Saccharomyces cerevisiae S288C: one gene and its partners. The gene in region 1 interacts genetically with each later gene. Each region holds a gene or a part of one and is shown in the gene's direction. Other genes may lie near its edges.

The links.
Region 2: mutations in RPS6A (region 1) and ABD1 together harm fitness less than expected from each alone (positive genetic interaction), as found in Saccharomyces cerevisiae (2 studies listed by BioGRID).
Region 3: mutations in RPS6A (region 1) and DOM34 together harm fitness more than expected from each alone (negative genetic interaction), as found in Saccharomyces cerevisiae (3 studies listed by BioGRID, with this or other methods).
Region 4: mutations in RPS6A (region 1) and KNS1 impair growth when combined (synthetic growth defect), as found in Saccharomyces cerevisiae (2 studies listed by BioGRID, with this or other methods).

Annotation. Positions count from the first base shown.
Region 1 is NC_001148.4:374,192-381,717, reverse strand, and holds RPS6A (40S ribosomal protein eS6 RPS6A), read left to right. Parts: upstream 1-3,322; coding exon 3,323-3,328; intron 3,329-3,722; coding exon 3,723-4,427; downstream 4,428-7,526. Other genes in the region: RLM1 (Rlm1p), read left to right, coding at 568-2,598; glutathione-disulfide reductase GLR1, read right to left, coding at 4,765-6,216; SSU1 (Ssu1p), read right to left, coding at 6,549-7,526.
Region 2 is NC_001134.8:687,269-695,023, reverse strand, and holds ABD1 (mRNA (guanine-N7)-methyltransferase), read left to right. Parts: upstream 1-3,330; coding exon 3,331-4,641; downstream 4,642-7,755. Other genes in the region: DEAD-box RNA helicase PRP5, read right to left, coding at 506-3,055; VHC1 (Vhc1p), read right to left, coding at 4,761-7,755. UniProt on the Saccharomyces cerevisiae protein: Responsible for methylating the 5'-cap structure of mRNAs.
Region 3 is NC_001146.8:622,673-630,457, forward strand, and holds DOM34 (ribosome dissociation factor DOM34), read left to right. Parts: upstream 1-4,783; coding exon 4,784-5,944; downstream 5,945-7,785. Other genes in the region: HRB1 (mRNA-binding protein), read left to right, coding at 243-272, 615-1,949; PET8 (Pet8p), read right to left, coding at 2,303-3,157; RLP7 (Rlp7p), read right to left, coding at 3,502-4,470; citrate (Si)-synthase CIT1, read right to left, coding at 6,950-7,785. UniProt on the Saccharomyces cerevisiae protein: Component of the Dom34-Hbs1 complex, a complex that recognizes stalled ribosomes and triggers the No-Go Decay (NGD) pathway.
Region 4 is NC_001144.5:101,272-109,726, reverse strand, and holds KNS1 (serine/threonine protein kinase KNS1), read left to right. Parts: upstream 1-1,827; coding exon 1,828-4,041; downstream 4,042-8,455. Other genes in the region: COX19 (Cox19p), read left to right, coding at 755-1,051; SPA2 (Spa2p), read right to left, coding at 4,380-8,455. UniProt on the Saccharomyces cerevisiae protein: Nonessential protein kinase.

The DNA of each region.
Region 1 (7,526 bases):
TCACATTTTTCCGTGGAAATAACGTTATTGAAAATGCGTTCTTGCCTGCCATACGTGGGTGAAATACTTCCACGTTCGCAAAAAATACTTCCACGGTGACGAAGTCTGTCTCAGTCGTATATTAAATGCAGAAATCGTCTTATCATTATTGGGCTCTCTTAACGGCGCAGCATCACCGGGTGATGAATGCCAAGCCGCAGAAAGAAAGAAAAAAATTTACTTCAGATTTCTGATAAAAATAAAACGGAAGAGATGAAAGCTAATAATAGAAACAGCTCGATCTTCCTCTGAACAATAATAATTAAAGGACAGACAAAAAGAAACGTAAGAAAGAAGCGAGCCTGTTCTAAAGTGTTCAACGACTGATTCAATTAGAACTGCCTACTCCTGATAGCCAACTCAACTTTTGACTCGTTAAAGTAATTGAAAGCTGGCAAGCAGAATTATTCTTTTTTTTTTTCAAGGTTTCTATCACGTTGTGAGGTTAATATCCCCCGGAGCAAACAGGCTGAAGCGTGAAAAAAACTTAAATATTAAAGTGTCGCAAAACTATACTATAGATACAACATGGGTAGACGGAAGATTGAAATCCAGAGAATTTCTGATGACAGAAATAGGGCTGTCACGTTTATAAAACGTAAAGCTGGCCTTTTTAAGAAGGCCCATGAACTATCCGTTCTTTGTCAAGTAGACATAGCCGTCATTATACTGGGGTCCAATAACACGTTCTATGAGTTTTCCTCTGTGGATACGAATGATTTAATCTATCACTACCAAAATGACAAAAACTTGCTTCACGAAGTGAAAGATCCTTCCGATTATGGAGACTTTCACAAAAGTGCATCCGTTAACATAAATCAAGACCTACTCAGGTCGTCTATGTCAAATAAGCCTTCGAAATCAAATGTTAAAGGAATGAACCAGTCAGAAAATGATGATGATGAGAACAATGATGAGGACGACGATGATCATGGCAATTTTGAGAGGAATTCAAATATGCATTCGAATAAAAAAGCCTCTGATAAAAATATACCGAGTGCACACATGAAGTTGTTATCCCCGACCGCACTCATTTCAAAGATGGATGGTAGTGAGCAAAATAAACGTCATCCTGAGAACGCGCTGCCGCCTTTACAACATTTGAAAAGATTGAAACCGGATCCTTTGCAAATAAGTAGAACTCCGCAACAGCAACAGCAGCAAAATATATCGAGACCATACCATAGTAGCATGTACAATCTTAACCAGCCTTCATCCAGTTCATCTTCTCCTTCCACGATGGATTTTCCAAAATTACCAAGCTTTCAAAACTCTTCCTTTAATGGTCGTCCTCCACCCATTTCCATTTCACCGAACAAGTTCAGTAAGCCATTTACAAATGCATCCTCAAGGACCCCTAAACAGGAGCACAAAATTAACAATAGTGGCAGCAATAATAATGACAACAGCAACTACACTCAGTCACCATCTAATTCTTTGGAAGACTCTATTCAGCAGACTGTCAAAGCAAGAAGGAAATTGTCCGCCAGACCGGTACTTCGTGTGAGAATTCCGAACAACAATTTCAGCAGTAATTCCGCTATTCCAAGTGAACCCTCCTCTGCCTCCTCCACATCGGCCAACGGCAATAGTATGGGCTCTTCGCAGATAATGAAAGAAAACAAAACAAGTAGGTCTAGCAAAATTTCTCCACTATCCGCATCTGCCTCAGGCCCCTTAACTCTCCAAAAAGGTAATAATGGCAGAATGGTAATAAAATTGCCAAATGCAAATGCGCCTAACGGTTCTAACAATGGTAATGGCAGTAACAATAACAATCACCCTTATCCTTTCGGAAGTGGGTCTTCACCTCTTTTTTCTGCAACACAGCCATACATTGCCACTCCCTTGCAACCATCGAATATTCCTGGCGGACCTTTCCAACAAAATACATCTTTTTTAGCTCAAAGACAAACCCAGCAATACCAACAAATGTCTTTCAAAAAACAGAGCCAAACAGTACCATTAACTACAACATTAACCGGACGCCCCCCTTCAACTTTTTCCGGCCCTGAAACCAGCAATGGCCCTCCAACTGGTTCACTGCCATCGAAGTTCGTACATGATTTGATGAGTAATTCTCCAAATGTTTCTTCTATATCGATGTTTCCAGACTGGTCAATGGGACCCAACAGTGCCAAGCCGGGAAACACAAACAATCCTGGTACTTTCCCTCCCGTACAGACGGCCGTAAACAACGGCAACTCCAGCAATATCAGCAGCACTAACAACACTAACAACAACAACAACAATAACAACAACAACAGCAGCAACAACAACAGCAACAACGGCAACGACAATAACAGTAACAATAGCAATAACAGTTACTATAGTAATAATGAAGATGCACCCGTAAATGGAGCTGCTATTTCAGAACATACTACCGATGGTGACTCGAACAATCAGTCCAACTCAAGTACATATGATGCTGCTGCCACCGCATATAATGGAAATACCGGGCTGACTCCATACATAAATACTGCTCAAACACCACTAGGCACTAAATTCTTTAATTTTTCGACTGATATTTCAGGAGAAAAAAATTCAAGCAAAATATAAACCAAAAAATTTGACCAGTATGAATATTCCAAGCATAAGAAACTTCTTTTCATTTAAAAAATTTATATTTATATTATTGTAAATGCACATATTTACGTAGTGAATAACCCAAACAAGGAAGAAAAACGAAAAACTCAATTGCATTTTCTGAATAATGATAGTATTTAAGTACTCTTTTGTGCATTAGCAACTAAAATGAATTGCCGCCTGGCCTGGAGTTTGATGTAAGCAGAAGCCGGAAGAAGACAAGAGGTTCATTCAGAGAAAACATCCGTACATTCGAGTTCTCATTGAACCCATACATTTCAACTATTTTTACATAGTTCGTTTTTCATGTGTAAAATTGTCATCGACGCGCCGGAGCATCGGAAAGTTGGAACGTGCGCGATTGCACCAATCCCACTGGGGCCGTGCATTCTGTAGGCAGGAAGCCACTGGACACTCTGCCCGTTCCCACTTGGAAGATTGGCGTAATTCCACGCTCCTCTATCGATTCTAGCGGGAAAGTTATCTCTCCTGGTAAGCGTTGGAGGAATGCCGCTACCTAGGTAAGTCTACTGGGTGGGAATTCCAGTACCGACGTCTAGGAACATCATGATGCTGCAGTTTCTTTGAAATTTCATATACAGTGTTACCAAGGATAAAGTGGTTAATGCTTATTCGTCATTGAATTTTTATATTTGCTTAAGAGAAGTGACAAAAGAGTGAAGACAGACTATACATCATGAAGGTATGATTTATGATACTATTATTGAGGGGCAACAGAGAACTTTATATGTGGAAAAATGGCATGAAAGTTTGAAAGTGAGAAAGAACTAAACAGAACCAGACGTCGTAAAGATTTTAGAAATTTTTTATGGAAAGAAGCAGGAAGACTACCATATACTAATTGATGCGTTTGTGGCGTTATTTTTAAACAAACAGAGCGGGTTTACATATACTGTTACTACAAACCGTGAAATTGAAGCAGTTCATATACTTGGAGTATAGTCAATAAAAGACAAGCTTTTTCATCTTCCACTTAATAATTTCTCTAGAGTAATAAACTTCACCCTATTCAAACATTAATTTTGCAATAGTATACTAACAAATTTTCTTAATAACCTGTTGAAAATTTAAAATAGTTGAACATTTCTTACCCAGTTAACGGGTCTCAAAAGACCTTCGAAATTGATGATGAACACCGTATTCGTGTTTTCTTCGACAAGAGAATCGGTCAAGAAGTCGATGGTGAAGCCGTTGGTGACGAATTCAAGGGTTACGTCTTCAAGATCTCTGGTGGTAACGACAAACAAGGTTTCCCAATGAAGCAAGGTGTTTTGTTGCCAACTAGAATCAAGTTGTTGTTGACCAAGAACGTTTCTTGTTACAGACCAAGACGTGATGGTGAAAGAAAGAGAAAGTCCGTCAGAGGTGCCATTGTTGGTCCAGATTTGGCTGTCTTGGCTTTGGTCATTGTCAAGAAGGGTGAGCAAGAATTGGAAGGTCTAACTGACACTACTGTTCCAAAGAGATTGGGTCCAAAGAGAGCTAACAACATCAGAAAGTTCTTCGGTTTGTCCAAGGAAGATGACGTTCGTGATTTCGTCATCAGAAGAGAAGTCACCAAGGGTGAAAAGACTTACACCAAGGCTCCAAAGATCCAAAGATTGGTTACTCCTCAAAGATTGCAAAGAAAGAGACACCAAAGAGCTTTGAAGGTCAGAAACGCTCAAGCTCAAAGAGAAGCTGCTGCCGAATACGCTCAATTGTTGGCTAAGAGATTGTCTGAAAGAAAGGCTGAGAAGGCTGAAATCAGAAAGAGAAGAGCTTCTTCTTTGAAGGCTTAAAGTTAGAAAGCAGTAAAAGATAAATTCTTTTGTTCAAAAACTCCTTTCTTATTCTGTATTTTGTGTATTTTTAAGCTTAAAATCAAATAACTTTATTTTTTATATAATTAACAAAAAGAAAAATAATCATATGTATTGTAAACGAGAGTCGGAATGTATCCTCAACTGAATATCCAAGCGAGTCCACAGTAGCTAATAGTCTGAAAAAAAAAGGAACCCTTGTCCTTGAACAGAAATGACAAAATTACTACGTATTTCAGGATGCTATATAAGATTGTTTACAAGAGTACAAAAGTCCAGTATAGCAACAGCAGATTGGACGTCTAGTTTCGTTGCTTCATCTCATAGTAACCAATTCTTCTGCGCTAGTCGGATGAATAGCAACACAATTATCGAAATCAGCCTTAGTGGCACCCATCTTTATAGCAACACCGAACCCTTGCAAGATTTCTGCAGAGGAATCACCAACAATGTGCAGACCGACAACCTTTTCATTTGGTCCCGCACAAACAATTTTATATCTTGTGGGTGATTTCTCACTCAACATAGCATAGTACATGGCGGTAAATTTGGAATTGTAGACCTTTATATTCTCCTTACCGTACTTTTCAATGGCTTCCTTCTCAGAAATACCAATGGAACCGGCTTCAGGATGTGAGAAAATTACGCTGGGGACGTTCTCGTAATCTAGTTTGTCATTACGGAATTTCTCTGGACCAAACAGTCTATTAGACAGCTTTCTGCCCGCTGCAATAGCGACAGGTGTCAATTCAACTTTTCCAACAACGTCACCTAGAGAATAAATGTTTGGAACATTGGTGTTCTGATATTCATCAGCAATTATTTGGTCATGAGAGTTCAGCTTTATACCTACATTTTCTGAACCCATACCTAGATGGGATTTACGTCCAATTGTCCAAATTAATTCGTCAACGTCATCGATGGACTTTGAGTCATTCATATGTATTTTCAGTTTGTCAGTTTCTACATTTTTCTCCACCTTAACAATTTTGGATAGTTTATGAACGTTGATGCCTTCCTTTACGTAATGGTCAGTAATAGTGTTCTGGATGCATTCATCAAATTTTCTCAAGACAGTTTCACCTCTAATTACCAAGTGCGTTTCGGATCCCAGCCCATGGAACACACCTGCTAGCTCAATACCAATATAACCAGCGCCAACAACAACAACTTTCTTAGGTTGTTCTTCCAATCTAAAGAACCCATCAGAATCAGTACCTAATTCGAAACCTGGAATGTTTTCGGGGAAAATAGCCTTTCCACCGGTCGCAACTAAAATATGGTTAGCGGAGTAAACTTCAGTAGTATTATCCCTTTTCTGAACTTCAACATTACCGTCCTTATTGAATCTAGCCCATCCAAATACAACATCCACTTTTTCTTTTTCTAAATTCTTCTGGTATATACCGTTCAACCTATGGACATAAGCATCCCTTTTCTGCTTAAATTCTGGCCAATTAAAAGTCAAATGCTCTTTATCTAATGGAAGATTCTGATATAATCCATATTCATTTGCATGGGATACTCTAGTAGCGAGGTCAGAAGCATACCACATGACTTTCTTCGGAACACAACCCACGTTAACACAGGTACCACCAAGAGCCTTAGCTTCAACTAGTAATGTCTTCGCACCATAAGATGCAGCTCTTCTTGCGGAAGCAACACCCCCTGAGCCACCCCCGATGACGAGGTAATCGTAATGCTTGGTGTTCGTGGACATAGTTCTTATCTGTAGACTTCTAAATGTTTGTTTGGTTGCAGAAAGCATAAAGTTCTGTAAACTAATATGTAAATAGATATATATACATATGAAGGAAAGCAGCAAAATATACTGAGAGTGAGAAGCGCATGAGAAAAACCAGAAGTGTTTCTTATACTTTTTTAGACTGATTTTAATAGTAGATTCCAAATGGAAAGCTCCGAAATCCTCGAAAAATTGACAAGGGTCGTGCTTACTAAGTGACGTCAAAAAATATCAGGCATAGTGAAAACCAACGTGAAGAAGCAAAAGCAGCAAAGCGCCGTGCAAATGAATTAAACTATCTATTGAGACTCCTACATGAAATGCTTGCCAATTATGTACGTATAAAACCAACAATTTTATGCTAAACGCGTAAAATCTAGAGCCGAGTTTGATTCTTCCACGCTTTCAATGCTGTTATACGGAGAAACTGTCGTCTTTTCCGTACCTGACTCTGAAAATAATGAAGATTTACGGGCAGCATGCAGCATCTTTTTAGAATACTCATGCAATGTGCATAAAAGGCATAGAATTGACCAACAAACGCAAACACCGCCGTATATGGTTCCTAGGACTCTAAATGCATATAAGGGAACGTACTGGTTATACTGCACATATAACTCTTCGTTTCCTAAAGACATAGTACCCATCGGGAAAGTCATCCCCCAAAAACCTTTGTGGAAGGTATAAACTCTCTTCACTTTTCCTGTCTCGTTTTCAATCTCTTTTTTATTGTAGTACGACAGGATTGAAACGACAGAAATCACGGTGAAAAAATAGCCCATAGCGAGCAATGCCATAGCAGAAACCATGCCTAGAATTTTGAAACACCATGGAACTGCAATAGTCAATATCTCTTGTTCTCTTGTAATGTTATCTGTTGGGTAATATTTGCCCGCATATTTTTTTATATTATCTGTAAGCAATAAGACTCCAAAACTTCCTTGGCCCATCGGGCCCAAAAGCAGGAATAAGGTGAAAACCTGTGTCATTGGTGGTATCTTATTAATATAAAGACTCCAGAAGTATATCGCAATCAGTATGAAGACGAAGATAATGGCATGCAGCCACGTTAAGGCACATATGACCAACGTTATCAGTTGAATGTTTCTATTAAACGCATGGAAGAATATTTCTGACATTGTGAATGTTCCACAACTTGAAGCGACGACAACCAGCGGAATGATATCCAGTAGCAATACACTTTTCATGTTTTCGGATGCCATTTTGATATTATATGAAGGATAATTCCCAATCCCTTCCAAAGGGTAATAGTCATGCCAGATGAGAAACGAGATACCCCACGCTATTACTAGACAGACTGCGAGATCATACCA
Region 2 (7,755 bases), on another chromosome or scaffold:
ATGAATTGATGTGATAAACTTACCATTATTAATATTATTATTCGATTGTCAGTTTTTCCCTTCCTTATTTTTATCGTTATTTCATTATTTTTTATTTGTCATATCACATCTCAAATCAACTAAAAAACTATTATTATATTCTTCAAGCCTACCATTTTCTTGATAAATTTTTTTGAAGTTACTTTTATTCCATGTTTTGTTTTTATTTGCTTTTCTACTTTTATTTTCCCCTCTTAATTTTTTTTTAAAGCATTTACCTTTCATTATATCCTATGAATTCTCATTGTTTCTTTCCCACTTTTTTAAATTCCATTTTATTCGAATCGATAAAAATTTCAAGATTTTTTTCTACATCATATATTATATATTATTTTGTTTTTATTTTTCCTAATAATTCTCTTTTTTTTTTTTTATTATGATTGAATATGCTTTAAATTACCACCCTAAAAATTTCAGAACTAACTACGAAAGTATATAGCACCACGAGTGAGTTAAATTCTAAAAACTAGTATTTAGTACTCTTCAAAGACAAGCTTGCAGCCTTTACGACCCCCTCTTTAACTTTTTGCTCCAGCAATTCTATACTTAATTGTATGTCTTTCTCATCTTGGCCTTCGATCAATAAGTATAGTTTAGGCTCATCGTTTTCATTCTTTGGTTCCTTCCCTTCAGGGTAAAATTTACCCTTGTTAGTAATACTACATCCGGTTTCATGCTTGATAAATAATAAGGTTGTATTCTTTGTAGCCTCCCATCTTACAATCTGGGGTAAATCATTAATATAAACCTTGGCGTAAAAGATGATCGACCCGTCTGTAGACTCTTTGAATAGTTCATAATTGAGTCTCGGAATAAGCGCAGAAGACTCAGACACACTGTCATGCCCTTCGCGTGGATTGCTGATTTTCTTTTCCAAGTCATCGCTCCTCTTATCATTCTTTTTGAGCTCCAAATCTTTATTTTGAGCTTCCTCTCTTTTACTTTTGATATTTTCCAGTCCTTTGCCGCCGAACCCTTTCGACAACCTAAACTTACCCTTTTTCATACCGGATTCAAACTTGGCACTCATTTCCTGAAGTTCTTTTGCTTGCAGAGGGTCTAAAGCTTTTATTTCTTCATCGCGCATTGCCTTGCTCAAGATATAAGCACCTGACAGTTCATCATGCAATAGAAGAGTAATAGCAGTACCGGAGCGACTACCTCTGGCAGTTCTTCCAGTAGTATGAACATATTGCGCGAAAGTTTTGACGGCGTTATAGATAATAACCAACGACACTTCGGGAACATTTAAACCTCTTGAGAGAACCTCTGTACAGAGAAGAATACTGTTCTTTTCTCGTTTGAACTTTTCTAAGTTCATAAGCCTTTCTTGATATGGCTTACCTGCATGAATAGCACAGGTCACAATTCCAGCATTTAACAGCTTTTTTGAAATGAAGTCGCAAATATTCTGACTTGATACAAATATAATGGCTTTAGCATCAACTTCTTCAACATCGCTTGACTGTCCGTCATTTTCACTTTGAACCTCGTCAAAAAATTCACTGCGCTCATGGATAAGCTGCACCAGATTGTCAAATTTTTCATCTTCTGAATGGCATATTCTAAACTTTTGTTTTACGTTTTCATTAACCATTCCCTTTGAATTAATCGTAATAGATATTGGGGAATGCAAAACTCTTACGGCAAAACTGCGTAGTTTGTTCGGAAAAGTTGCACTAAATAGAACACACTGTTTATCCGGTCGAACAGTTTTCATGATTTGCGTTATTTGAGGTTCAAAACCTAAATCGAACAGCCTGTCTGCCTCATCCATTACTACGAACGTTATTCTTTTAGTACTAAGTAATTTCCCATCATTTAGTGTTAATATATCAATAAATCGTCCCGGTGTGGCAACAACAATCTCAGTGCCTCTTTTAAGATCAGTAATCTGCTTTTTCATTTCAGAACCTCCTGTACAGCATACTGATCTAATGGATGTATCTGCTTCTGTGAATTTAGTAACTTCTTCATGTATTTGTAAAGCTAGCTCTCTAGTTGGAGCCAGAATTAAACCCATGGGCCCTGTTTCATGTTTTGATAATGGCCGTTGAGCTTTTACTTGTCTTAGCAATGGTAAAAGATAGGAGATGGTCTTGCCGGAGCCAGTTTTTGATATTCCTATAACATCACGACCTGACATAATAGCGGGAAGAGCCTGGGATTGAATAGGCGTTAAGGAGCCAAAGTGCAACTTTTCTGTAATTAAAACCATGGTGTCCGTTGATAGTCCCAGTTGAGACCACTTTGTGACTGGTTTGGGGCAACCTGTTCCCTTTATTTTGATATTATCCAGACTAAGTCTAAGCTCCTCAACTTCCATCTCTGACATCGAGGAAACTGTTTCAGATTCTATATAAAAATTTTTTTGGAACGGCTCAAGCTCTTCTGGAGAGTAATAAATTTGCTTTACACGTTTTTTTGCTTTGAGTTTAGCAATTTTCGCTATATTAGAATTATCCGTATTATCTTCAACATCCTCATCGTCGGTTCCTCCAAGTTCAAACAATTGATCCTCTACATCAAGAATGTCGCCTCTGTCGTACATGCCTTTACTATTACTCATTTTCTCCTCCTTCAATGACGTCATAAACTCATCCAGTGGATCTTTTTCATTATCATGCTCTGGAGCTTTTTGAATGTGCTCCTTCGATCTAAAAGAAACTCCTATTTCAGAATCATCGTCATCACTGAAGTCGAAGGATATTTTCTTCTTTACCTTACTTCTCTTCGACTTTTTCTTCGAAGGCTTAACCGATACAGGTTCGTCAGATTTCCTAAATTCATTTTTTCTCTTCCGAAGCTCTTCTTTTACACGTTCCTGTCTTTCCGTAAACTTTTCAGTAGTCTGCTTACCTTCTAAACTGTTAGTAACAATGTCATTGCGTGAAGTTTGATGCTCTTTCTGAGCATCAAATTGTGCTTTTTTTTGTTTCCATTTTGCTAGTTTTTTCCTCCTTTCCTCCAATAAAGACTCCCTATTAATATTTTGCTTCGAATCAATAGTTTCCATACCTCAAATAAACCCAAGGCAACAGCGTTATGATTTCCCTTCTCGAATTATTTGGCGCTGTATTATATTAGAAAGAACTCTAATACCTTTAGTTTGGTCCATTGCTCTAAATGACTTTAATTAGTTTCATCTAATCCGGGTAATGGTAAATCAAGATATTTCAACATAAATTAGAAGATTTCTTATTTTAATCCTTTACATGTGAGACACTTTTCCGATTAATGTGACAACTACTACAACGTGGAGTCGTCCATTATCCGTCTTAGAAAAGTAGAATGTCAACCAAACCAGAGAAGCCAATATGGATGTCACAAGAAGACTATGACCGTCAGTACGGCTCAATTACTGGTGATGAATCGTCCACAGTCTCAAAAAAAGACTCCAAAGTTACTGCCAATGCGCCTGGTGATGGTAATGGATCATTACCAGTTTTGCAAAGCAGCTCTATCCTTACTTCTAAGGTGTCTGATCTACCCATTGAGGCAGAATCCGGGTTTAAAATCCAAAAGAGAAGACATGAAAGGTATGATCAAGAGGAAAGATTACGCAAACAGCGTGCTCAAAAATTGAGAGAAGAGCAACTAAAGAGACATGAAATAGAGATGACTGCAAATAGATCCATAAATGTTGACCAGATTGTCCGAGAGCACTATAATGAACGTACAATAATCGCCAATCGCGCTAAGAGGAATCTATCGCCTATTATTAAGCTTCGTAATTTTAACAATGCGATTAAGTATATGTTAATTGACAAATATACAAAACCTGGAGATGTCGTTTTAGAACTCGGATGTGGCAAAGGTGGTGATTTAAGAAAATATGGTGCTGCAGGTATTTCACAGTTTATTGGTATTGACATTTCCAATGCCTCTATCCAAGAAGCTCATAAGAGATACCGGTCCATGAGAAATTTGGACTACCAAGTTGTGCTAATTACTGGGGATTGCTTTGGCGAATCATTAGGTGTTGCAGTAGAGCCCTTCCCAGACTGTAGATTTCCGTGTGATATCGTTTCGACGCAATTTTGCTTGCATTATGCTTTTGAGACCGAAGAAAAAGCAAGGAGAGCTTTACTGAATGTCGCCAAATCACTCAAAATTGGTGGTCACTTTTTTGGCACGATACCAGATTCAGAATTCATTCGTTATAAACTGAATAAATTTCCCAAAGAAGTGGAAAAGCCATCTTGGGGAAACTCCATTTATAAAGTGACATTTGAGAATAATTCATACCAAAAGAATGATTATGAGTTCACATCGCCTTATGGTCAAATGTATACTTATTGGCTAGAAGATGCTATAGATAATGTTCCTGAATATGTTGTGCCATTCGAAACCTTAAGAAGTTTGGCTGATGAATACGGTTTGGAACTAGTATCGCAAATGCCTTTTAATAAATTTTTTGTCCAAGAAATTCCCAAATGGATTGAGAGGTTTTCGCCTAAAATGAGGGAAGGTTTACAAAGATCTGATGGTAGATATGGTGTTGAAGGGGATGAAAAGGAAGCGGCATCATATTTCTATACCATGTTTGCATTCCGTAAGGTAAAACAGTATATCGAACCGGAAAGCGTAAAGCCCAACTGAAATAAAAATGAATAGAAACAATAACCCTACTATAAAGCATCTGTATTTCGGCCGTATTACAAGACTTCTATATGTAGTAAATAAGTTCTGGGGAAATGCATAACGATATATGTGTTATTCTATAATGCAGTAGTTACTGTCATGGTTTGCGAATTGATTAACATGCATGGAGGTAAGCCCTCCAACCAAATATCCAAGTCCTCGACATATTGTAAACTTGCATCGTGATCTTCATGTGTTCCAAGAGCTGGAACTGGCAAGGTTGAAAAAATTAAATCCGAACTCTTTGACATTTGTGTCATCACATCATTCAGAACCAAATGTTGAGCAGTGCTGGGAAGATCATTGAAACCTAAATTTTGCATCGCTGTGACTAAACTATCTTTTGAACAACAAGGTGATAATTCGGGAAGAACCGGTTTCTTTAATTTGTTGCCGTTGCCAATACCGCTCCCAGTACCGTTCCCATTCGAAAGGTCAGGTTCGGCAATTGGGATCAGTGTCGGCTGTTCACCCGTGCCATCTTCCACGACTCTCGTCCTCGGCAAAGTATTACTCGAGAAAACGGGTCTTAACGACTGTGTTGACACATCGCTTTGTAAATTCTTTACGAGTAAATTTGTTCTGTCGGAACCGGTCTTCGATTTGGTCGTTAAGTCCTTACCTACTGAAATATTAGTCGATGCCGAGAAGGCATCACGAATTGACGTAAGATCTGTATCCAAATCGGAGTCCTCACTCTCGCATGGGGTATCAATGCGGTTAGTTGGCATTCTCGTATTCATTGTAAATGAGACACCCAATTTCTGAACCCCAGACGTATATTTTCTTGATTGTGTAAATTGCTTTGCTATCGTTTGAGGTTCAATAGTGGAAAACCTCCGCTTCGGTTTTAATGTATCACGAGCTTCAACCAAATCTTTCCACCATTCATTATCGGCCAATTTCGAGTTGACATAATCAAACACGATTGGGTCTCCCTTGACAATTGTGTTGTATACTCTGAATTGATCTAAAGATACTACCAAAACCTCTGCGTCAATTCTTAGAACCTGTAATAGCTTTTTCATTCGTTGAGTTTCGTTCGTTCTATGATATTCTTGTTCCACAAATAAAATAACTCGAAGCGAATGTGTGCGCTTCCATTCAGGAACAGTAACCAAAATGGCAGCTAATTGTAGAATCAGTGTATACGTATCAAAGTTAGTAGTGATAGCCGCAGGCTGGTCACCCTTTGCCTCAACTTTTCCGCACATTTGGATGGGATAAAGATCTATAGTTTTTTTTGGAAAGCAGCTGTCCCTTTTGTTCGGTATCTCTAAATTTTTGAATCCATGCGCTATGGCAATATTGGATTGCATCAGTGATAGATCTTCTACAATTTGAACCCATTGTTGTACATTAACTTTGGTTTCATTTTTACACTCATCCGTAGGCAATGGAACATTGATTTTGACATCAGAGCATGTACTACGTGGCACTGTAGCTTTTATTTCCACCTGTTTCTGAAGGTTATTTTGGCTGCGACTTTGTGGGATGTGCTTTCTATAACTTTCGAGGTCAAAAAAACCGACAACAGTAATGTTTGGTTTCATACCTCCAAGCCCGGAACCAATAAAAACATTCCTAATTCCCCATATAAGGGAGGGACCAGTCCCAACTTGGACAAAAGCCTTTATTGCTGCCATGTCTCTGATCTTCATCCAAGCTTTCTGCTGAGTTTTTAATTCATTTAGTTGCTTCGGAAAATCCGCAGTTACTGCAACATGGCCTAAAATATACAAACCACCTTTTTTCAAATGATTGCAAAACCTTATTAAGTTCCAGCTCGTCCTTGGATTATCTACAAACAGCAATATTTGAGGCCTCCAGTATTTAATATTGTCTTGACGTAGGCGAAGCAAATACTTTCTCACTTGATGATATATTAAACTTTGAGACACATCACCCCAAGACTTCGGTGGTGAAAAATAATGAATGAATAAAAATAGCAAAATCATAGCCAAAAACAAGACAGACGCTGAGATGCCATCAACTATTAACATCGCAACAACAGAAAGTAATGCGCCAATTGCTGTAGTATACCTGTTAAAGTATTTGAAAGAGGGCCTGAAATTGGGAGCAGAGGAAATACCTAATAGGAAGCACGCCAAATTCATGACCACAAACGTCATTAAGAATGTCATTGTGATAAATGTGGCGATTTTATTGACGTCTGAAAACAAACATAGCTGTGTTAGAATCCAAGTAAAAATCAATGAATATAACGGTGAATGAGCAAAAATCTCCAAACCAGGAATAATGTTATCCTTTGCAATTGCTTCTAATACATAAGCAGCACCGAGCATCCCCACTATGATGGAGAAAAGAGAAGTAGCCATTTCACCCATGAATATAACCCACTGAACGGAACTGATCGTCTGTATAATTTGTACTTCATCATATAACGATCTTCTGGGAATGGAACAACCCATGGAGAAGACAACAACGGCATAACAGATAAAAGTGAAAAGTAAACCCCATAAGGTACCCTTAGGAATTGATTTAGAGGGCTTTCTCAATTCACTTGACATTCCTGCGCCCGCGAATATACCAGCTGTAGCAGGAAAAAAAACGCCAAATAAATCATTGAATGTTTCCTTACCTTTGAGTAACGAACCTGCTGCACCTTTTGTTAAGTGAGGGAGCAGGTTATCATGAAAAGTTTGCCATGAAGGACCTGTATAACTGATACCGCCTTCAGTGAATGGCGATCTTATCAATGCAGAAAGTGGAATGGAAAATATAGAAGCTGCCAGTACCAAAAAAAGAATATTCCCTGCTCTTGACACTGTTTGCGAGCCAACAAAAGCCACAGAAAAACATAAGAAAAGAATGACCGTGGCATATGTAAATTCGTGCCAATGCCCTCTTGGTAGTAGCTCTCCCAAAGCTGCAGGTGGCTCGCCTTGAGCAGAATAACCCAAGTTATAGAGTAAAGGTTCGATAATACCCACTGCGTTCATACCTGCATTGAACACCTGCCCTAAGAAAAAGACAAGCCCAATGGATCCACCAAATTCAGGTCCTAAACTTCTTGAAATCATATAATAAGCACCCCCGCCCCTAACAGTC
Region 3 (7,785 bases), on another chromosome or scaffold:
GTACCTATTCAACCAAACAATTGAACTTGAACACCAAACTCTAGCCATCCTTATCCTCTTCTGGTCACTACATATACCTCAATTTACGTCTTTCCTTGGGTCGTTTCAAATGACTCTCTTTGTTTAGCGAGGGAAATGAAAAAGTAGAGTACTGGCTGAAAAATTTCATAATTATGTTTGCTCATGAGTTCGAAAACAGTTTGAATGAGCAGATAGAACGCCAAATATTAAGTTAACAGGATATGTCTGATCAAGAACGAGGTTCAGAAAACGTATGTTTCATTGATAAGGGAGGTGAAGAAAAGTTTGTAAAATGAGACTTTATGAGGTCATTGGAATTAAATAGACATCAACGAATGGTGAGTCACCATTTAATGCTGCCTTCAAAACGCTTGCTTCAATGTGATTCCACTGGTTAAAGGGGGTTTTTTGAATGCATTGCTAATGTTTATCTACTGGCTATGAAAGTGAGAATATCAATTATAAATAAAACCCTGATTTTCTACCTGCCATGCTATAATGTACAGTTTATTCCAACTTTGAAACGCAATGACTTATTGGTCTCTCTCATTATGAAATTTAGTTACTTTTACTAATGTTATTCATTGTTGTAGAATAATCGAAGTAGATCGAGGTCGAGATCACCTGTTCGTCGTCGGATGAGTGATGATCATGGTTATGAAAGAGACAACCATTTGTCCCGGAGGTCAGGTAATTATAACGGTAGGCGTAAGTTCGCAGATACGTACAGAGGAAGCAGAGATAGAGGAGAATATAGAGGAGGTAGAGAAAGGTCTGATTACAGAGAAAGAGAAAGGTTCAATAACAGAGATAATCCTAGATCTAGAGACCGTTACGATGATAGGCGCAGAGGAAGAGATGTGACTGGTCGTTATGGGAACAGACGTGATGACTATCCTAGAAGCTTTAGGAGTAGACACAATACACGTGATGACAGTAGGAGAGGCGGTTTTGGTAGTAGTGGAGCAAGAGGTGATTACGGTCCTTTGTTGGCACGTGAATTGGATAGTACATACGAAGAAAAGGTCAATAGAAACTATTCCAATAGTATATTCGTGGGTAATTTAACATATGACAGCACCCCCGAAGATCTCACTGAGTTTTTTTCACAGATAGGAAAAGTAGTCCGCGCGGATATAATTACATCAAGAGGGCACCACAGAGGTATGGGTACAGTAGAGTTCACTAATTCGGATGATGTTGACAGGGCCATCCGCCAGTACGATGGGGCCTTCTTCATGGATCGTAAAATCTTCGTCAGGCAAGATAATCCACCACCGTCAAACAATATCAAGGAAAGGAAAGCACTCGATAGAGGAGAGCTTAGACATAACCGAAAAACACATGAAGTTATTGTAAAAAATTTACCTGCTTCCGTTAATTGGCAGGCTTTGAAAGACATATTCAAGGAATGTGGGAATGTCGCACACGCTGATGTGGAATTGGATGGCGATGGAGTATCCACTGGATCTGGTACGGTGTCCTTTTATGATATTAAAGATCTGCATAGAGCGATTGAGAAATACAACGGTTATAGTATAGAGGGTAACGTCTTGGATGTCAAGTCTAAGGAAAGCGTACATAACCACAGTGATGGAGACGATGTTGATATCCCAATGGATGATTCTCCCGTTAACGAAGAAGCTCGAAAATTTACCGAAAACGTTGTCGGTGGAGGTGAAAGAAATAGACTCATATATTGCAGTAATTTGCCATTTTCAACTGCAAAAAGTGATCTTTACGACCTTTTCGAGACAATCGGAAAGGTTAACAATGCTGAATTAAGGTATGATTCCAAAGGGGCACCAACTGGAATAGCTGTCGTTGAATACGATAACGTCGATGATGCAGATGTTTGTATTGAAAGATTGAATAATTATAACTATGGGGGTTGTGATTTGGATATATCGTACGCTAAACGCCTCTAGAACTACTCTCGATCTATATACTTTCTCACCTATTGGATCTGCGACAAGTATTTATTCATTCTTGACTTATTTCCAGGCTTTTTAACTTTATAATGTCATTGTGTATACGTATAATCTGAAAAAATTTCGAAGACTTTGAAGAAGACTGTGAAAAGAGTCTGATTTTTCCAATACAGTGAAAATGGGTTTAACAAATATCCAAAAAAGTACTTTGAACAGATATCGTAAATAGACGACTTTTTTATATGAATAACAAAAAATAAACAACAGACAAGAGGCCTCAGAAGGCTTACGTAAAGTACGTAAACGATCTACCTCTTACAACTGGTAGTTGCTTTTGCTCTATGTTTTCATTACGCTCTCATTTCTCCAGCCGTTGGGAAACTTTTCGATAATAACGAATGAACAGTTTCATACATGCCTAGGAAGATAGCACCACCTGCACTGATCCACATTGTCCGGGGCCCCACTCCACTGAAAAATACAGCAGGACCTTCCTCTCTGTAAATCCTAATAATAACGCTTCCAAGTGAGGCGGTTGTTTTGTTGAGCATTAATCTGGTTTTCAAGAAATCTAATGGTGTCGTTGTAGCTGCTGCGATCCCACCCGCAATAGAACCGCAGATAGCCCCTTTCCATGGCTCCACTTGACTTTGGCCATTGGCTTTTGCCCAAGTCTTTTTTAGATACTCGTATAAAGGAAACTGTATACAAGTAAACGGTATTTCTCTCATAATGGTGGTAGACCACCCTCTATAAAGATTTTTCCTTAAACCTTCCTTATTGTCATTTCGTAGAATTGACTGTAAAGTCTGCCAGGAAGAATTGGTAGAGTGAACTTGCGTCCTTTGCTTAACGACTTCTGCGGGAACTCGAACAAGACAAGCACAAATTTCACCAATGGAAGAGGAAAGCATGTGCGTTGTCGTATCAATCAATTGCTCAGATCCCTGTGAGTAAAGTTTGCTGATATATGGCCTTGATTTTACTTTCATATAATCATAACTAATAAAGAAAAGTGAAGCACCTGGCGCCGATGCTACAACAGCGCTTCCCAAACCACGATATATGCCTTTGTATCCTCCATTAGCAAAGAATCCACCCTTAGCTTGAAGCCTGGTTTTAATTGTGTCTATAGGGAAAAAAACCAAATCCGTAGAGGTACCAGCAGCGGCGCCACTTAGCAAGGAAAGAAAAAAAGTATTCATAGCAAACTTTTCAAAGCGAATTTTAGTTCATCGGTGTGTCTAAACATATAAAATCGCCAAACAATTTACAACAAGTGGAGCTTTAATGATCTCATATATTCTCGAGGGTGCACCCCACTGCAAATGTATTTATATACAAAACAGCGCTCAGTAAGCGAGGAAAAAAAGAGGCGCCCGTGCTTTTGCCGATACATAAACTAAAAACCAATAAACTTGCCAAAATACGTATATTCTTCAATCCATGAGGCACCACTAATTATATGCAAAAGCTCAATATCTGCTCCTTCAATGGCATTAGATAACTAACAACCTATGTACTATACAATTTTAAAATACTCTCTTAATTAATTCAACTTGGCTAATAAAGAGTCAATGTCAACTTCGATAACTGGTGCTGTAGCTGCATTTGAAAATTGACGAGTTCTTGATTCAGCCTCCCGCTGTTTTATTTTCCTTAGCCTATTCAAAGAACCAAATCCAGATACTTCTCTATTCAACTTGAATGGTTGTAAGAAGAAGTTACAAACAGAAAAAGACTCACCCATAGTGGCAATCTCATGAATAATATCTTCAACACAAATTATTCCATGATCTCCTAATTGCTCCTCGACAATATTGTTGTCATTAAGAACTATTTCGTGAGGTTCAGCCTCATTCTCACCCTTATAGATTATTCTACCTCTCTTTTGAATCAAGGAACGGATAGAAGATAAAGAAGGCTTGCCAATCACTACGTATGGCGCAATAACCTTGAGCAACGGATATACGTTTTTGGTCAATTTGACGAAAACACCAGTATTAGTTTCAACTAATCTTAGCAAAGACAAAATCTTAAATGCTTTGTTTGGAATATTTACAGCAAGCGGACCTCTTACTCTGACAATGAAAAGTAAAGCAGGTTTGCCATCGTAAGTAGTCTTTTCTCTGATTAAACCATCGTCTTCTTCTTCTTCAGTCTCCTCCAAGTCGACAGAGTTCTCTTCGGCGCCATTAGCTTTTTCTGTTATTTTCAGAATAAAATCTTTCCCAGATGCAATATGCTGCGTTTCATTCTTTGCCTTCTTATCTTCTAATATAGACACTCTTTTAATTCTTTCCTTTTCCCTAGAGGTAGCCAAAGTCTTTGCAACTATACTTTCAGCTCTGACAAATTTGTTCTTATTACTTCTCTTTTTTTTGATTTGTTCTTCCCTCTTTTTCTTAGCTAATTCTTGTCTTTCGATTCTAGTTCTATCAGCATTTCTTCTTTTCCTCAAAAGAATTTCTGGATTAGAATTAAGAGTTTGCGCTTTACTGTCTTGAGTTGAAGACATTGTGACTTGTATATCTTATTCTTTTTCCCTGTGGCAGCCTCTTCTTTCTAGGAACTTAATAACGAAAGTACCAAACAACTTAGACTTTTCTCATCTCATCGCTTCCCAGCTTTTTTTAAGCAGAGCTGAAAAAAATTTTCTTTTTACCAAAAATCCGTACTGCGTGATGAAAGTGTACATACATTATTCAATATTCACCTAGTTTTGTATATTAATGTAAAATGTAATTTAATGAAGATCCCAAAAAATTAAGCATTCGTTGCTGCATCGTTGTCATTTTGTTCAATTATCGCATTCCTATCATAGCAAAAATATGAAGGTTATTAGTCTGAAAAAGGATTCTTTTAACAAAGGAGGAGCAGTGATTACTCTTTTACCGGAGGACAAGGAAGATCTGTTTACTGTTTATCAAATAGTAGACAAAGATGACGAGTTGATATTCAAGAAAAAATTCACCTCTAAACTTGATGAAGCTGGTAAGAAAAAAAGTACAGATTTGGTCAAGTTGAAGATTAAAGTAATATCCGAGGATTTTGATATGAAGGATGAATATTTGAAATATAAAGGTGTTACTGTTACAGATGAAAGTGGAGCTAGTAATGTTGACATACCTGTCGGCAAATATTTGAGCTTTACCCTTGACTACGTGTATCCCTTTACTATCATAAAACAAAACTTTAATAAATTCATGCAAAAGCTCTTAAATGAAGCCTGTAATATCGAGTATAAATCAGACACCGCGGCGGTCGTTTTACAGGAAGGGATCGCCCATGTTTGTTTAGTGACATCCTCCTCTACTATTTTAAAACAAAAAATTGAATATAGTATGCCAAAAAAGAAAAGGACTACTGATGTACTGAAGTTTGATGAAAAAACTGAGAAATTTTATAAAGCAATTTACAGTGCAATGAAGAAAGATTTGAATTTTGATAAATTAAAGACTATTATTCTTTGCTCTCCAGGTTTCTACGCTAAGATATTAATGGACAAAATTTTCCAGTATGCCGAAGAGGAACACAATAAGAAAATACTCGATAACAAAGGAATGTTCTTTATAGCCCACTGCTCCACGGGCTACTTACAGGGCATTAATGAAGTTTTGAAAAATCCACTATATGCTTCAAAGCTGCAAGATACTAAATACTCCAAAGAAATCATGGTGATGGATGAATTTTTGTTGCATTTAAACAAGGATGATGATAAAGCTTGGTATGGTGAAAAAGAGGTAGTTAAAGCGGCTGAGTATGGCGCAATTAGTTATTTACTGTTAACAGATAAAGTTTTGCATTCAGACAATATTGCACAAAGAGAGGAATATTTGAAACTGATGGACTCCGTAGAGAGCAATGGAGGAAAAGCATTGGTATTAAGTACTTTGCATTCTCTTGGAGAAGAACTTGATCAATTGACGGGTATAGCCTGTATTCTAAAATACCCGCTCCCCGATCTTGATGAAGACGATGGTGAGGAGTAGATTTACTATGTAAGAAAAAAGTAATGTACACATAAAATTTGCAACCCTATAATAAATCGGATTATTCTCTTTACTTCTTCCCTATAAGCAAGTAGATGTGAAGCCGCAATTAATTGAGTTGTTGTGAAATGGTTCTAGTTAGTCACGTGCAGCTTTTTAAAAATATTTTAAAACATTTTAAAAAATATACATTTTTTTATTATTTTTTTATATATTAATGTTAAAATTTATTTATGTATTTGTCTTCCGAAAAGTAAAATAACGTTCAAATTTGGTATTTAAGGATATCTGCGTTTAGGCGCCTAGCAAAAAAATGCCGAACTAAGAAATTATATTAATGTGGTATAAGTTACTGTTTACTAAAAGTGCCCCAAACGGCGCTGGACTGATAAGAATGAATACGGATTAGACAGCAGGTTTATGCTACCCTGCTCCTAGTTTTATGTGATTAAACTCAAAACCTTGCTGGTAGAAATATAAAACACTGCTTTTAATTAGTATAAAAGTGACATTTATCTTGAGGTAAGAACAGAAGAAAAAAAGGAAAAAGAGAAAATTTTATGAGATTGCTTTTTTCACATGACCATATTATATTCGCTTTATCAACTTTTTAGTGTATCTTCTACTCTAGGACAGATAAAGATGCATTAACCTTGTCATTTTGCTTCTTCTGCAGGTTCATATACATATAAACGTTAGTTACACCTTGACGTAGTATATCGACTACAGGCTAGATTTTACTGCTAAATCAGCGCGCCAGCCCACCACAATTCGATTTGAAAGCGCTTTGCAGGAATTTAAGAGCATTTTGTTTTCTATTCATTGATATCATTTGCCAAGTATATAACATAACCGGTAGGCATAGGGGACTCAAAGCGTAAAAATCATGAAGTCATAGCCATTTCCTTATGTAATATATATTTATATAAATTATAAACTACTCATTCGTATATGAAAATACGTGTTTGAATAGTCGCATACCCTGAATCAAAAATCAAATTTTCCTTAGTTCTTACTTTCGATTTTCTTTACCAACTCCTTGTATTTTTCGGTGGAGAATGATTTTGGCCTTTCGATTGGAGCACCAACAGCCCTATCGATGATTAATTGGGGTAACACACCAATAGCTCTGGCAACACCAAACAATACAGTGTAGAACGAAGCCTCAGTTAGACCATAGTATTGCAATAAAACACCGGAATGTGAATCAACATTTGGCCATGGGTTCTTAGTTTTACCATGCTTAGTTAAAACCCCTGGGGCAACTTCATAAATGGTGGAGACCAACTTAAATAACTCGTAATCTGGGAAATGTTTCAATGCGAATTCACGTTGAGCCGTATAACGAGGATCAGTTTTTCTCAAAACCGCATGGCCATAACCAGGAACAACTCTCCCTGCGTTCAAAGTATCCCACAAGTACTTTTCAATTGTTTCTTTTGAATAGTCACCTTTCACTTCTTCTCTCAATTTAAATAGCCATTCTAAAACTTCTTGATTGGCACGACCATGTAATGGGCCAGCTAAACCATTCAAACCAGCGGCCAAAGATAAGTATGGCGAAGATAAGGCAGAACCCACTAAATGTGTAGTATGGGCAGAAACGTTACCACCTTCATGATCAGAATGAATAGTTAAATATAGTCTCATTAAGTCAATAAAATCCTTGTTTTCGTAGCCCAAAAGTTGGGCCAAATTTTTACCATAGTCAGCATTAGGATCGGTTGAAGTAATTTTACCATCCTTGAACACATTACGATAAATTTTGGAAGCAATAACAGGTAATTTACCCAGCAGATCTAACGAATCTTCAAATGTATAGCTCCAATATTCTTTCTTGG
Region 4 (8,455 bases), on another chromosome or scaffold:
TATTCCGAAAGCAAGGGCTATGAGCAGTCCGACAATTCGGAAACCATAGCTCGCCATAATTTACACGCTCTATGCACATATTAAAATACATTTAAACAGTACTTACAGCGCATCTGGGATGGTTCGGTTATGTACCAGGACAATATTAAGTTGACGCGTCAGTTGAGTAGTAATCGTCCTAGTATTTTCGCCTACCATGCCGCTTTTTGCGTTTTTGACCGCCTCTGGTCCCTTATACAATCCACAGGCAAAAAAAAATTACATAACAAGATTACTCTTCAAGAAACCTGGAAAATATTTTTTTGGGCAGTTTTTTAAGACGATAATAAGTTCTATGCCTCATTTACGCACCAGCGGTTCTATTACCAAGCTGACTCTTATCGGCGATGAGTATGATCTAAGGCTCGGGCCGCCCATTTTGCTGCTCCCGGTCAAGTAGCACGCTCCCTCTTTTCTTATCGCAGGCTTTGCCCACTACCCGATCTCTAAAGCGCCCATTTAACCTTTTTTAAAACAACAGCTTAAAAGCTTTTTGGATAAAAAGCTTTTATTACTACATCTCTGCATCTTCTCTCCGGGGTCTAAGAAAAGGGCTCAAATTCGCGGAGTTGAGAAACGAGAAAATCCAAATAAAGCGAACAAGAGGGAAAAAAATTTTTTCTTCCGTTCTTTCCTTCTTCTATACTTCAAGAAAACAAGCAAACGCACCCACTACACACAAAGTATCTTTTACGAAACATAACACAAGAATCCAATGTCAGGGAACCCAGGAAGCTCGCTGAGCGCATTGAGACCTACTCCACCCGAGAGAGGTTCGTTCCCGCTAGACCACGACGGCGAATGCACCAAGTACATGCAAGAGTATCTCAAATGTATGCAGCTTGTGCAGAACGAAAATGCAATGAATTGTAGACTACTGGCAAAGGACTACCTGCGGTGCAGGATGGACCACCAATTGATGGACTACGATGAATGGTCACATTTAGGTCTTCCTGAGGATGCTCCAGGCAACAACGGTAAAACCATAAAAGACGCCACCGATAATAAATAGCCGCCCACATCGGAATATCGAATAAAAGCTAGACGCTGTTGGTAATATCATACTTTCTACAACAACTGGTAAAGAACTTCTTTTTTTGAAATAGCCGCCGATATGGCGCGAAGTGACCCTGCTCGAGGCTGTGCGGGCCCAGGCCCGTCCGTTTCTTTTTTTTCTAGGGGGCGGCAAACGGGCCAAAGGGGTCAGCGTGATTGGGCGGTTTTCCACAAAGCTTTAGTCTCTCTCCTCACGCCTTGGCTTAGTGAGTGGCCGGAGTTAAAGTTGCGAGGAAACACACAGCGAAGGGAAAAAGCTTTGGCGTGCTTAACGATATGGCTTATGGCCCGGTTGCAATGCTGGTTTAGTTTCCGATTACGATTTTCGATTTGAATCCTGGCTCCACATCTCCCACCCTCTTTTTTTATCTCTAGCATCGTGCGTTGGATTTTATATTATGAAGTTCCTATATTAGAATAAAGTTTAGTATTTACTTCCCAGATCTACCGGATTTACAAAGTATTGTTACCTCACCACCAAGTGAAAGGAAACAGTGCAGTAACTCCTCGTGCTTACGCTAACTAAATAGATATTATATTCACGAAATACTGCGCCAGATAGCAAGCAAACCCAAAAAAAAAAAAGAAAAAGAAAAAGGAAACAAAGTGGGAGACAGAAAAAGAGTGAAAGAAACATAGTATTTACCAAGTCGAAGATTTAGCACAACAAAGACTAATCTACACGCATACTGCTCTTCTTCATTATTGCTTTATCTTCCGCGTACCTTAGTTATGTCACAGAATATTCAAATTGGCACTAGAAAACGTTCAAGAGCAAATATGAATAATTCCACTACTACGGGCCCTGCTAACAATACAAGCTCTAACAAGACCTTTTTGGATAATTTCGAAGAAACGCGCACAAACAAGCTGCTGGACGAGATGTTTGCTCGGCAAAATTCTTTTCTAACAGACAATCTGAGGAACAGTCTAGACCTGAATCAAGCAGACAATCCGCTCCGTCCTCGGCAACACCAACACCAGTTGTTCTTGGACAATGAAAATGCCATAGAACTAGACGAGGAGCCGCGTATCATTAACACCACAATCAATAACAGTAATAATCATAACAGTAGTCGAGTGGACGAGGATGCTGACGATGACATCATTTTTATCAAAGAGCAGCCAATTCAGTTTTCGTCACCTTTGATTCTGCCTAGTAGCAGCAGTATCAATAACAACAATAATATTGTTACTTCAAATAATCCAGGGTGCGGTACCGCAGCTACAAGCAATAGTACGTATATCACGACACCAAAGAAATTCAAGAAGCAAAGAACCATCTCACTGCCTCAGTTGCCTCTATCGAAGCTGAGCTACCAATCGAACTATTTTAATGTTCCTGATCAAACCAACGCTATCGTGCCAAGAGTAACGCAAACTGAAAATGAGCTGTTGCATCTAACGGGGTCGTGTGCAAAGACTCTGGAGGGCAACAAGGCAGTGAATCTCACGATTGCTCACAGCACTTCTCCCTTTTCCAACCCACCAGCACAAATAGCTTCCCTGCCTCAATCCAACCTCAAGAAACAAATTGGTTCTTCACTACGGAAATTTACATCAAACGGCTCTTCAGAAAGCGCATCATCCAATAAATCAAATTTCAAAACGGACAAAGACGGTCACTACGTTTACCAGGAAAACGACATATTTGGCAGTGGCGGCCGCTTTGTTGTGAAGGACCTATTGGGCCAAGGCACGTTTGGTAAAGTACTTAAATGCATCGATAACAAGTATGAACCTAATTACGTGGCTGTAAAAGTGATAAGGGCTGTAGATAGATATAGAGAAGCCGCCAAAACAGAACTAAGAATTCTACAGACTATCCTGAATAATGACCCTCAAGGTCAGTTCCAGTGCCTCTTGCTAAGGGAGTGCTTCGATTACAAAAATCACATTTGTTTGGTGACAGATCTATACGGCAGGTCCATTTACGATTTTATGTGCTCCAACGGCATTGCCAGGTTCCCCGGCTCTCATATTCAGGCCATTGCCAGACAGCTAATCAGATCTGTCTGCTTCTTGCACGATTTGGGCATAATACACACGGATTTGAAACCAGAAAATATCCTGATTTGTGACGAAACCCATATTGCTCAAAAATTGCCTTTGAAAACCGTACAGTCGCTAAGCAAGAGACGCCGTGAAGCCAGTAAGGGGAAGCGCAAAATCTTGAAAAATCCAGAAATCAAAATCATTGATTTCGGTAGCGCAATTTTCCATTACGAATATCATCCTCCTGTAATATCCACTCGTCACTATAGAGCCCCGGAAATTGTCCTTGGCTTGGGCTGGTCGTTCCCCTGCGACATTTGGTCCATCGCGTGTGTCCTAGTAGAACTGGTTATTGGCGAATCTCTTTACCCCATTCATGAAAATCTAGAACATATGGCTATGATGCAACGAATCAATGGAACCCCTTTCCCCACAGACATTATTGATAAGATGTTTTACAAATCTAAACATAAATTGGGCAACTCTCCATCAGACCTAAATTCAACGGTGATAAAGCATTTCGACAGAAAAACTTTAAGCTTACAATGGCCTGAAAAAAATAAACGCGGAGATACCATAACCACCGAAAAGTCAATGAAAAGGGTCTTGCAGTCATGTGATCGCTTAGATATTTACATCTCAAAGGTCTTGAAACAGGATTACGGCGATAGCTTAAGCATCAATTGGAATCTACCGCCGGAGAAAAACTGGTCTTTGATAAATTCGAAATTGGCATGGAAAAGACAAACACATTCCTCTTCTTCCTCAACTACTGATGAACTCGATAAGGAAACTTTCTTGTTTTGGTACTGGTTCATCGATCTACTCAGGAAAATGTTTGAGTTCGACCCAACAAAAAGGATTACCGCAAAGGACGCTCTGGACCATGAATGGTTTAATCTGGGCATACTGGATGATGGTATTGCAACTTATAATAATACCCAAGGATAGTGGGTGTTCTCGTTCTACTTTTCTCTTCTTTTTTTCACATCTTTTACTAGTTCCGTTTTTTTTTTTTTTAACTCTTCTTTTTCATTTTCCGGTTTTTAATAATATTTCTTTAAATTTCTATATTCAATAAAAATTCTTCCTACATATATATCTTCATATTCAAACATTTATAGTATTTTTACTAATTTTTTGTTGTTTTAATATACTATAATAATATTATTATTACTGCTACTACTATTATTATTATTATTATAATTATTATTATTATATGTCATACATAATACATTCTATTGATTGTCTTTGTCTTCCTTTTCTTTCTCCTCTAGATACTACTAACTTTACTTCAACTTCGAATTCAAATAATTTATTTCGTCCTTCAAACTTGCCTCTTCTACAGTTTTTACCAGCTCCTTTGTACATTTGGCAACATCAAACGCAATCCCTGCCAACCGCTGTTTGAAGTTTTTGTCAGCATAATCTTGATCGCTCTTTTCCTTCGCTAGTATTCCATCGCCAGTTAATTGGCACAAAATTGTCATTCTACGCGAACAGTCTCTTAGACTTTGCACCACCCAATCACCGTGTTTCTTCAAATTGGCATTTCTGCTTTGCTCCATTGATATGCTAGTAGCGTCCACCATTTGACCTATGACTTGGTTGATTGCATTCGATTCTCCCCTCAAATTACCCTTCGTCACCTGTGGTTTCTTGATCGATGTCAAAAGCGATTGAATCGTGGATATGACGTCCATTGTTTGATGTTCTAAATACAATAGTAACTCTGATAGTGTATTATCCGGATTTTCAATGTCAAATGTATCCACATCAAAATCACTGTCTTCTTCCTCTTCATCGTCATCTTCACTTTCCTCTTCCTCACTTCTGTTTTGTTCTTGTTCTTGTTCTTCATGTTTCATGGGAACAAATTGATAGCTAGAATCATCATCATCACTATAATGTTTCTCGTCATGTGCCGTAGTTTCTCCAGTATTTTTTATCTTTATGTGGTTGTTAATGCCGCCGTTCGACTCTGAGTTCTCGTATTGAACCGGTTTACTGTTTAAAAATGGTGAGTGGCTCGTCTTTTTTACCTGTGAATTTTCAGTTGGATTTACGAAAGCATGCTTTCTTTCAGTGATGTGTATTTGGGCATCAGCTCTTTTTCCATTAACATTATTTGATTCATCAATATCTTCCTCGGAAGTATGCACTTCTGCTTCGCTTTTTGCTTTACGATCAACAGGTATTTTATGATAATCAATTTTTCCAGTTTTCGTATATGCACCAGTGATCTGGATATTGTGGTTCACTCTATCAAAATCTTCGTCCTCCTCCTCTCGTTTGATCGTACGGTTTAAGTCGGCGTCTCTCCAAGAAGTATTGGCATCCTTGTTTGTTGGTTCCACAGAAGTGATAGTCTCAGTATGTGGTTTATTAGTTTCTCGTAACTCGACATTTTTCTTTATCGGTGCTAGAGGTGAATTTTTTGCCAATTCAGGAGAAACAATTTGGCTATTCGGTTCTGGGAGCCCGCTCTTTTTCAGTGTAGCTGAAGATGGAGTCTTTTCGACTGATTTTGGTGATCCAGTTCTATTAACAGCCTTTGGAAAGACAATCTTTTTTAGTACTTTTGGGGGGTCAACATTCTCTATCGGCTCTGAGGAGGCAATGTCTCTCCTTATTTCTTGAGGTTCAGACACAGTATTTCCCTTTAAATTTGGGGATTCCATTTTCACTGTCATGTTTGAGGGGATAGTATTGCCTACTGCCTCCAAGGACTCGCTTTCCCTTACCATTCTTGGAGATTCAATTTTGTCAACTTCTCCTGATGACGCCAACTTCCTAGCCGCTTCCGGGGACTTGATTGATTCTTGAGCTGTAATTTTTCCTGTCATACCCAAAGACTTAATCTGCTCTTTCATGCCCGGAGATTCGACCCTACTATCTGCTTCTGGGCCTACAACTTTTCCTGCCATATTCAAAGATTTAATCTGTCCTGTCATGCCCGGAGATTCGACCCTACTATCTGATTCTGGGCCTACAGCCTTTCCTGTCATACCCAAAGACTTGACCTTCTGCGTCATATCCGGAGATTCGACATTACCAAGTGGTTCTTGAAAATTTTTCTTCCTGACTGATTCTACAGATGCGCCCTTCTCTGGCATTTCTGAAGGCTCAACATCCTCTACTAATCTCTTAGGCAGCGAACTACTTGGCATTTCTGAAGACATTTCAGATGACGTGATTTCCTTTATCGATTCAGGAGATTCAATCTTCACGGACTCCGGTGACTCATGTAAATCAAGTTCCACTATATTTGCAGGTAGTTTGCTGTCATTATTTTTTTCAATTTTTGAACCTTCTCTCTTCATTGTTTGTTTCAATGCCATATAGGTAAAATCATCATCATCGTCTGCATCGTCATTTTCGTTACCATCAGAGCTTGAATCATCTGTGGACACATCATTCATTGAAGTGATAAATTTATTGGATAGTTTTGGTTTTGAATCCATTTCTTCTTTTGCTATAGGATTTTCCTTTGGTGATGATTTCTTTTCGGAACTTTGCTCAAATTGTTTCAGTTTATCAGCAATGCTAGAAGTTGGTTTAACAGAGATTTCATTTGTTATGTCACTCCTTTTATTATCCTCTTCTGTATTCTCGATTTTAATATTGGGAACTTGATTCTCTGACGGTGGAATAACAGTACCGATTTTGGCTTGTGGAGGTAGTGTTAGTTTAGGAATTTCGGAAATATTGCTACTTGCAGAATTGGAGGCCGATGTTACTGCCTTTATGGGCGAGACATATTTATCATTATCCTCTTTATGGGAGCTATTCTTAGCAATTGATGAATCAATCATTAAACTAAATAGCCCCGTTCCTGAAGGTTTTCTTGAGGTTGTTGGAACTCCATTAGACGATGACGGTCTTATGATCGGACTGTTAATTGCCTTTTGTGTAATTTTCAATGGCTTGACTGGAGATTCTTCTTCCTCCACATCATTCAAGAAAGATGCTGGTTTTCTTGGGTTTATAAACCCCTTCTTCATATTTATTCCAGAAGTCGAGGGGAAAGTTGGCGTCATTGGGGTGGTAGCAGTTGGTGAAGAATATTCTAATACCTGTCGGTTACCTTCATTAGAGGTGGTGCTCTCACCATTTGAATCGGATTTTATTTTCGCTGAATCAATTAGATTACACATGGCAAAACAAACCTCTGAAACAGCAGCTTGCACAGTTATTTTCGGAATTAATACGGGACCGTAAACAGAGAAATATCTTATCGATGTGATCGCATGCGATAATGATGCCTTCAGTAAAATGACCTGATCTTTGTACTGTAATAGGTCGGCCGATAGTAATAGCTGGGAGATTAGGTTCGATAACTGGGATAATATTTGAAATAACTCTTCGCCAATTTGATGGGAAATTGCCGTGGAGTCGCCTATGGGTACTGCGGAAAGCCTAGTAGTAAATTGAATTATCAAGTTGTTAGCGTTTAAGATGTATTGAGCTGGAATGAGCCCATCGGCAGAAGAGTACTTGCTAATAAAACCGTCAGTGATTTTCAAATCATTATGGTTGTCATTCTTTTTTTGATGCAGTTCGAATTCTGAAATTTTCTGCTTCAAATTTTCATTCTCAATTGATAATTCACCGATTTGAGAGTTTAATGACAGCAATTCTTTCTGAAAACTTTCATCAATGGTGTAGTTAATCTTTAAGTTCTTTTCCTTTTCTTTTTCCTCCTTCTCTTCCTTCTTCTCCTTTTCCTTCTCGCTGGTTAAAGATGCTAACTTAGCATTCAAATCTTCAATTTGCAAATGTAAGTCGCTGTTTAAATCAGTCAGTTCTTTAACCTTGTCTTCCATCTCTGAGTTAGGGTTATTGTTCTCAGCCCGTTGTACTTCAGGGCTCTTCAACTGTTCGGGACCCTTTTCGTTATCGATATCTTTATCTACCTTGATAATTGGAGAATCATTAACGTCCCAGTAATTTTTATGCGTCGTTGTTGGAGTCCTTGCCATTGATGTGATATCACGAGCGAGCACTTGGGAGTCAGGCAGATCAGAATCTGTAACTATGGGGTTTAGAGCAGGTTTAGCCTCTTTCTTTTCATCCATGCTTGTTTGTTTTCCCTCCGGTTCATTTGGCTTCTCCTTTACTTGCTCCTCTTCTTCTTCCTCAGAAGACCAATCGATAGATGCCATCTTAGGAATGACCAAAGAAGGTTGTACGGAGACGTTTGGAGCTACTTGAGTCACAGAGGAAGAATTTGTGGATGTTCTTGCAGTATCATCGCTGTCTTTGCTGACCTCTTGTTTCATCGGCTGCGGTAATGGGGGCCGTGGAGCATCCAAATCCTTGTCGAACCCTCTTCTCTTGATCTCAAAAAGGATATCGTCCAACA